Mus musculus: one gene and its partner. The protein of the gene in region 1 interacts with the protein of each later gene in a biochemical or structural test. Links are inferred from orthologs where the notes say so. Each region holds a gene or a part of one and is shown on either strand. Other genes may lie near its edges.

The links.
Region 2: of the proteins of Card9 (region 1) and Trim62, one has a biochemical effect on the other in vitro, tested with the Homo sapiens proteins (4 studies listed by BioGRID, with this or other methods). The link is inferred for Mus musculus from reciprocal best matches to the Homo sapiens genes CARD9 and TRIM62.

The regions. Positions count from the first base shown.
Region 1 is NC_000068.7:26,354,707-26,358,124, reverse strand, and holds part of Card9 (caspase recruitment domain-containing protein 9), read left to right. Parts: intron 1-41; exon of another isoform or gene 42-109; coding exon 110-414; intron 415-480; coding exon 481-660; intron 661-796; coding exon 797-940; intron 941-1,241; coding exon 1,242-1,367; intron 1,368-2,600; coding exon 2,601-2,792; intron 2,793-3,201; coding exon of another isoform or gene 3,202-3,228; exon of another isoform or gene 3,229-3,253; coding exon 3,254-3,295; intron 3,296-3,418. UniProt on the Homo sapiens protein: Adapter protein that plays a key role in innate immune response against fungi by forming signaling complexes downstream of C-type lectin receptors.
Region 2 is NC_000070.6:128,882,453-128,887,055, forward strand, and holds the start of Trim62 (E3 ubiquitin-protein ligase TRIM62), read left to right. Parts: upstream 1-1,591; 5' UTR 1,592-1,717; coding exon 1,718-2,125; intron 2,126-4,603. UniProt on the Homo sapiens protein: E3 ubiquitin ligase that plays a role in antifungal immunity by mediating 'Lys-27'-linked ubiquitination of CARD9 downstream of C-type lectin receptors; leading to CARD9 activation, followed by activation of NF-kappa-B and MAP kinase p38 pathways.

The DNA of each region.
Region 1 (3,418 bases):
ATGCTCCCTCTGTCCCCCCTAGTCTTCAAATGCACACTTACGGACAAGGACCAGCACGGGGTCTGCAGGTGACAACCGCAGGCTCCATCTGACACCGCATGGTCCCCAGATGCATCAGGGGAGTCTGGCCTGACGCAGCTGCTGATGACAGAGGTCATGAAGCTGCAGAAGAAGGTTCAGGACCTGACGGCCCTTCTGAGCTCCAAGGACGACTTCATCAAGGAGCTGAGGGTAAAGGACAGCCTACTGCGCAAGCACCAGGAGCGGGTGCAGCGGCTCAAGGAGGAGTGTGAGCTGAGCAGTGCGGAGCTGAAGCGCTGCAAGGACGAGAACTATGAGCTGGCCATGTGCCTGGCACATCTGAGTGAAGAGAAGGGCGCAGCACTCATGCGGAACCGTGACCTGCAGCTTGAGGTAATCACTTTCTCCACCTGCAGGGGGTGGCCTGGAGGAGGCTGCAGCTGACTGGGCCACCCACAGGTGGACCGGCTCAGGCACAGCCTCATGAAGGCCGAGGATGACTGCAAGGTGGAGCGCAAACACACACTGAAGCTCAGGCACGCCATGGAGCAGCGGCCTAGTCAGGAGCTGCTGTGGGAACTACAGCAGGAAAAGGACTTGCTGCAGGCCCGGGTGCAGGAGCTGCAGGTCTCTGTGCAGGTAGGGAGACCCACCAGTGCACATCAGGCCTCATGCCTGCAGGGGCTTGAAGCTGGGCACACCAGATGGTACAACTGCAGTGGCCGTGCCATTGTGGGCCTCCTCAGCCAGGCTTGTTGCCTTCTGACACCTCCAGGAGGGTAAGCTAGACAGGAATAGTCCATACATTCAAGTGCTGGAGGAGGACTGGCGTCAAGCACTGCAGGAACACCAGAAGCAGGTCAGCACCATCTTCTCCCTACGGAAGGACCTCCGCCAGGCTGAGACCCTCCGGGCCCGGGTGAGAGACCAGGGCAGACAAGCAATGCCCACTGGGATCCTGGATGGTGGGGTCTGGGACCTGGCTCACTGTCAATTCGTACAGTACACAGTAGTGCCGTGTCACCCTTTGGGCTTACAGTGTGACCAATGGTGGCTGAGGCCATGGTCTTAGACTAGGTTAGTCTTGGATTAGATTGGACTGGAACTCCAGTGCCTTCCTCATTATCCCAGACCTTGTGTGCCCTGGAGCTGTTGCTCTGAGTCCAGCCCAGGGGGAGGAGGAGGGAGGGGAGGGTGAGGCTGAGTGGTGCTTCCTGTAGTGCACGGAAGAAAAGGAGATGTTCGAGCTGCAGTGCCTGGCCTTGCGCAAGGATGCCAAGATGTACAAGGACCGTATCGAGGCTATCCTGCTGCAGATGGAGGAGGTCTCCATTGAGAGGGACCAGGTAGGTGCCACACTTGTGTTCAGAAACGGAGAACCAGGAGTGTTGGGGTATTGGTGCGGCAGACACTGGAGCAGTAGTCAAAGTGTTTTGTTTTGTTTTGTTTTTTTTATTTATGCTCAGGGTAACTTGGCAGTGTTGGAAGACAGAACCCGGGACTGCTTGTACAAATGCATCAAAGTCTACCTTATTCAAAGGAGGAGCTTATGCGGGAGGAGAACACAGCAGTCCCTGTGGTGGGGGTGGGGGTGGGGTAAGGAGGTGGGAGACTTCAGTAGGGAGAGGAAGCTGCTAGGTGCATAGGCTGTGGGTAGGGAGCATTTGGTACAAGAACCTGTGGTGGCTCCCGGGCAGAGGCAGTAGTAGCAACTCACACCTGCAATCCCAGCAGTTGGAGGTTGAGACAAAATAATTACTGTGAATTTAAGGGCAGCCTGATTTACCATGAATTCCAAGCCAGTTTGGGGTCCAATGTGAGACCCTGTCTCAAAAAGCCACCACTAACAATAACAAAAGCGGTAGCAGCTGAGCCATGTTTGGTAGTACATGGCAGTCCCAGCATGCTGGTCCCCGGATTTAGAGGTAAAGACAGGAGAGTCAGAGATTCAAGGCCAACCTCAGCTAACAGTAAATAGGAGGCCACCTTGGGATAATGAAACTGTCTTCCAAGAAACAAAAGAAAAAAACCTTTGTGTTCATTTAAGAACAGCCATGAATCCTGGTTTGTTTGTTTTTTTTTTTGTTTGTTTGTTTTTGTTTTGTTTTTTAATGTCAAGCTGCATCCAGAATTTATAAAATATGTCACATAGGTGGGACAGAAACACCCACTGGCTATCTGCTGGGGATGTAGGACTTCTCAGTTGGGCTTCCTATGAACTACTGAGCATTAATCACGGGTTTTTTTGGCTGCTTCTCTGAAGTGTTTTGTTTTGTTGTCTGAGACAGTGTCTCATGTAATCCAATCTTGCCTTCAACTCAATATATGTGCAAAGATGGCCTTAAACTATTGATCCCACTTCTGCCTCCCCAGTGCTAAGAATCTGGTCATTTCCAACTCCGCCCAGGGTTTGTTCATGTACACTGAGAGCCCTGACTGCTTTGAGAATCCCTCCAGTTCAGCAGTTCCAGCCATACACCAGGGTGGTTGATGTCCAGCCAGGACCTGAACTGCCAAATGAGAGCCAAGAGCATCAACCAGGTCCTTTGCTGAGGGTGTGCCCTCTGCTATTCCTACAGGCTATGGCCTCCAGGGAAGAGCTGCATGCACAGTGTACCCAAAGCTTTCAGGACAAAGATAAGCTTCGAAAGCTGGTTCGAGAGCTGGGTGAGAAGGCAGATGAGCTGCAGCTACAGCTGTTCCAGACGGAGAGCCGATTACTGGCCGCCGAGGGCAGACTCAAGCAGCAGCAATTGGACATGCTCATCCTGGTAGGCCTCTGTGTCTGCTGTCGCCAGGGTGGGCTGGGCAGTGAGAGAGCTGGGGAGGATGTGAAGTCAAGGCAGGATTCCAAGAGGAACCATCAGCCTGGAAGCAGCCCTATCACTAACCTGCCATGACTGCTGCCCTGCTTGTGGCCTCGGAAAATGCCTGGCCTTCCTAAATCCCAGTTTTCCTCATTAGAGCTCTTCATGGCGAAGTGACAGCCACAGATGTAACTCAAGGTTATCCACACCACTCCAATGACTGCAGCCTTGACCAAGGAGTAACCTTCAGGTGGCTTGGAGTGTAGTGTTAAGAAAGACATATTCTGGGCATATCTAGAAACATGTGCAGGGCCTCCCTAGAGGATGGAGCCTGGATGGGGCTCTTACCATGCCCTACACACCCCATACCCAGGTGCTTGGAACCCCTACAGCCCACTGACCAACTCCCTTTTCTGTGGCCACAGAGCTCTGACTTGGAAGACAGTTCACCCAGGAACTCCCAGGAGGTGAGTGTGGACATAGAGTGGTCCTTCCCTGGCCTTCAACCTCTACCTGACCTCACACTCATCTCCCACATGGTCCTGTCCCCTTAAACTGGGCTGTCCCTTTTCTCTCATTTTGGGTTGGAT
Region 2 (4,603 bases), on another chromosome or scaffold:
TTTTTCCTGATGGTCTTATCCTGACAGACAATCACGGTGCAAACTGACCTCTTGCAGGTCCTGAGACAGCAACCACCTCCCTGGGGCCAGCCTTTCCTTCCTCCTGCAGGCCTCGGCTTTGCCACAGTTGCTCACCCGTGCCTAGCACTGCATGCATGCAAAGGGTCCCCCTCCTTCACTGTACTGATGATGTAGTGTGTATCTTGCACACCAAGAAACCCAAACCAAGGCAGGCCATTTTTCTGCTCGAAAGCCCAACACCTTCAAGAAATTCTTCTCTAAGATGCCCATGCCTTTCACCTTCCCCAAACTTCTTCCTTATCCCACTCTCAACAGAACAGAACAGAACAGAACAGCATGCAGGTCTCCATGTGCCCCCCCCCACTCATGCTTCTGTTCTCCCTGTCTCTGTCTGTCTCTCTGTCTGTCTGTCTCTCTCTTTCACCTTCTTAGAAATCCCTTTCCTCCCCTCCATCTGGCAGAGATGACAAGGTCTCCCATTATACTTTTTTTCTTACTCCAACTTCTTATACACACACACACACACACACACACACACACTCACACACATGCTCACACAGCAATGCAGAAACATCCGATGAATGGAAAGAACCTTTGAGCTAGACGTTAGGCAGGGTTCTCTCCACAATCTTCTACTAAGAGCCCTCCTTAGAAAGGGAAGAGGAAATAGAACCTAAAGGTTTAGGAGAATGGCGACTTTGAACTTAGCCCATGCCAACAGGGCAAGTCTCTAATTTTATCACTACAATCTATGCAAACATTATATATTCTATGCAGACTACAGAGCACCGTCTTGTCTTAATACTCAGTTATTATTGCCCTTAGTTCTTCAAATTGATCATCCGGAGAGATGTTCCTTAGGTGCTATCTTCTCACTTTTTCTTCATTAGCTGTCCTCTCGCCCCCTGCCGCCAGGACCCTAAACAAACCTGACAGCTGTGCAGACCCAGAAGAAACAGCTGTTTTTCCCGTCCCTGGGGGTCAGGAGCACAGTGGCAGCGAGGCGGGGTCTGGAGGCCCCTCCCCTCCCCCCGCCCGCCGCGGGGGCGGAGCGGCTCGGGTCCCGCCCGCGGGGGCGGAGAGGGAGCCTGGGCGCCGGGCAGTTCGGCTCGGCTGGTTCCGGGTTGAGAGGCTGCGCTGGACCGAAGCGGTGGCCGCTGAGCTGGTGCGGGTAAGGGGCCGCGCGGGGCCGGGATCTGCGGCCAGGGTCGGGCAGCTGAGTGGGCCGGCACCCCTCCTCTGCTCTGCCGGGCAAAGCCGCGGTGCGGCTGGGTCTGGCTGCTCTGTCCCGCAGAATTCCCCATCCCCAGCTCGACCCCCTCTCAAAGCTTTTCGGGTCCCGGGATTCCGCCCCTCTTCGGGATCTCCTCCTCGCAGCATCTATCCCTTGGGAGTGTCTGGTCCTCTAGATCCTCCTCGCCTGGAGCCCCTTCCTTGGGACGCCCTCGGCCTCTCTCCTCCAGCGCCCATCGCTGGTGGCCACCTAGGACCTCGAAACCGAGCTCCGGTGCTCGCATCCCGGGTGGCACCCACTCGGCACCGAGCCCTCGCGCCTCCGGCGTCGCAGACAGCTCCCCCCGCGCTCCCCGGCGCCTGTCGCCCGTGCCCCCGTGGGCCTGGCCCCCGGGTACCGCCCCCAATCGCGCCGCGCCGGCCGCCGGCCTCCCGGGCTCCGCTTCGCGCCGCCCCTGGCGCCATGGCGTGCAGCCTCAAGGACGAGCTGCTGTGCTCCATCTGCCTGAGCATCTACCAGGACCCGGTGAGCCTGGGCTGCGAGCACTACTTCTGCCGCCGCTGCATCACCGAGCACTGGGTGCGGCAGGAGGCTCAGGGCGCCCGCGACTGCCCGGAGTGCCGGCGCACGTTCGCCGAGCCCGCGCTCGCGCCCAGCCTCAAGCTGGCCAACATCGTGGAGCGCTACAGCGCCTTCCCGCTGGACGCCATCCTCAACGCGCGCCGAGCCGCGCGACCCTGCCAGGCTCACGACAAGGTCAAGCTCTTCTGCCTCACGGACCGCGCACTGCTCTGCTTCTTCTGTGATGAGCCCGCGCTGCACGAGCAACACCAGGTCACTGGCATCGACGATGCCTTCGAGGAGTTGCAGGTGCGAGGCGGACAGGCGGGGCTGTAGGTGGGGTCAGGGTTCCAATAGGGGCAAGGGCCACAGGCCGGCTTAATGCCAAAGGGGCGTGGCTCCTGTGAGGGGCGGGGCAGGGGCGGGTCCCTTGAGCATCACTGTGTCAAATGGGCTTGAGAGAGATCTGGATGGGAGACAGGTCGAGGTGGGATAGGATGATGGAGAGAGGAAGCTACAGCTGGACCAGATGCTGGCTGAGGCTGAGACAGAATGGGAGACAGCAGCTCCTTCTGGACTTTTGGGCAAAGGAAGGACCACTATCAAAGCTAACCTGGGAGTCGAAGTGGGGTGTGTGGGAGGGGTGAGCTACTCTAAATGCAGCTACAGAATTCTGGAATGTTTGGGGCATTGTGGGATGCGGCTTGCTGCTCCAGGTGTTCATTGAGATCTAGAGTGAGGCCTGGGCCTCGGTTGGATGATGAAAGTGAGAGTTAAGCTTAAGACGTGCAAATTGTTCAGAGGGCAGGTTTGGGTGCCAAGATTAGATCAAGGTATGTGAGGTGAGAGTCTAAGGTCGGCCTCAAGTTCAGATATGACAAGAACCTTTTTTTTAAAATTTAAACCAGAGTAGGGGCCAATTGAGAGTGGAACCAGGAATTAAAGATTCAAGATTTGGAGAATTAGACAAGATTTGGAGGAGGGGAAGACAAGCTTCTAGGAATTCCCAAGGCCTGGTGATGACCCCTCTTGTCTTCTACATCCGAATCTTTGAGTACTCAATTGGACATAGCCCTTAACTGCAGCTAGTCTCCCCTAAACCTTTCCGTTGTCATTGACAAGAGGGCAAGACCCTGGTCAGTGTGTTTAATACTCTAAGACCCCACCCAAACATTTTCCTTTCCTCAAGCTCCATTGTCGTGTGTGTGTGTGTGTGTGTGTGTGTGTGTGTGTTTGTATAGAGAGAAAGAAATATAGGTAGATACACGTGCTGAGAACTACATTTTCCTGGATGTCTTCTATCAATAAGATAGTATTGATATCAATAATCAATTATTTTATTGTCTGTGTGCAAGTATCTTGCCTGCATGTGCACCATGTGCATGCGCACCAAGAGGCCAGAGGAGGGCATCAGATCCTGTGGACCTGGAGTTACACACGATTGTGAGTCACCACCGTGGGTGCTGGGAATCAAACCCAGGCCCTCAGCAAGAGCTCTTAGCTGCTGAGGACGGTGATGTTGCCGCCTCAGGGGTGGGACTCTAAGGAGAAGCATTCCACGATCCGCTTTAATCGGATAATGCAGCATATCTTCCAAATCCTCCCCACTAGAGGATTCTCAGTAACACAGTCACCTGGTGGAATTCTGTTACACAATCTTGGTGGGAGGATACCCACTAAAGCCTATTTAATGATGCTCAAGCGTCTTTGACTTCTTTTCTCAAGCTGAGCAGTTTCAGCCCAGCCAGTCTCTTCCCTGGCTTTGGGATACCAGTCATAGACAATACCTCAAGGTAGCAACAGCTTTTTCCCTGGCATGTTTATTGTCCCCAAACTGGCACAGGCTTAGCCCACAGGACCTATCAATAAAACTTGAATGAATGAATGAATGAATGAATGACCAAACTTGGTCTAAGTTCACCCCAGCTGGAGGATTCCAAAGTGGAAGATGTTTTTCATATATATATAAAAAAAAAAGAATAAGAAATAGAGTCACTAACCTGTGAGTGGTGAGTTCTATGTCCCTCAAGATATTTAATCAGGAATTTAAATACCTACTCTCCTGCCTGGACTTTGATGAGGCTGCCCTGGGAAGACCTTATCTGAAGTGTGTAGGGTGGGAGCATCAGCAGTTCCTATTGCCATCCTTCCTCCTCCCAAGATCTTTCCAGAACCCCTGTACCCTGCTGGCTAGCCTCATCTCTCTCACCTGAGGAAGAGACTTGCCTCAATGAACCCCTTTGGACTTAGGCAGGTGCTGGCAGAGAAACTTGCCTCCCTTTCGGGAGGCTATGCTGAGAGGTGGGGTTCAGGCCACACTCCACCCCCTTCTGCCTCTCCTAGGCTCATTAGCTGCTGGGGATGGGGCAACCTCCACCCTCAAGGTCTGCTCATCCCTCTAGCAGCGCTGGTGGCTGCTGGAGCCTGTGCTGAGGCCCCTATCCTGGGGAATGACGGAGACGCTGCCAAAGCCTTGGAGATCATCTGGTACAGAGCACACTTGACAGATGGAGAACCGGTAGAGTGGGGGAGGGGACTTGCCCCGGGGTCTTGAAGGCAGAGGAGTCCAGGCTCATACACATCTGGGGTCTCCAGGCCCCCTACCCAGAATTAGGCCTGCAGCTTTTACCTTTATTCCAAAGCTTGGAGGCTACAGAGTGCAGAGATTAGTAGTAGCTTTGTCTTCATCAGCAGGCTGTTCCACCCTGGCCCTGCCATCTGCTGGCTGTGTGACCTTAGGGAAATGACTTGCTACCTCTGAGCCTCTGGCCCCTTGACCTGCTGCGC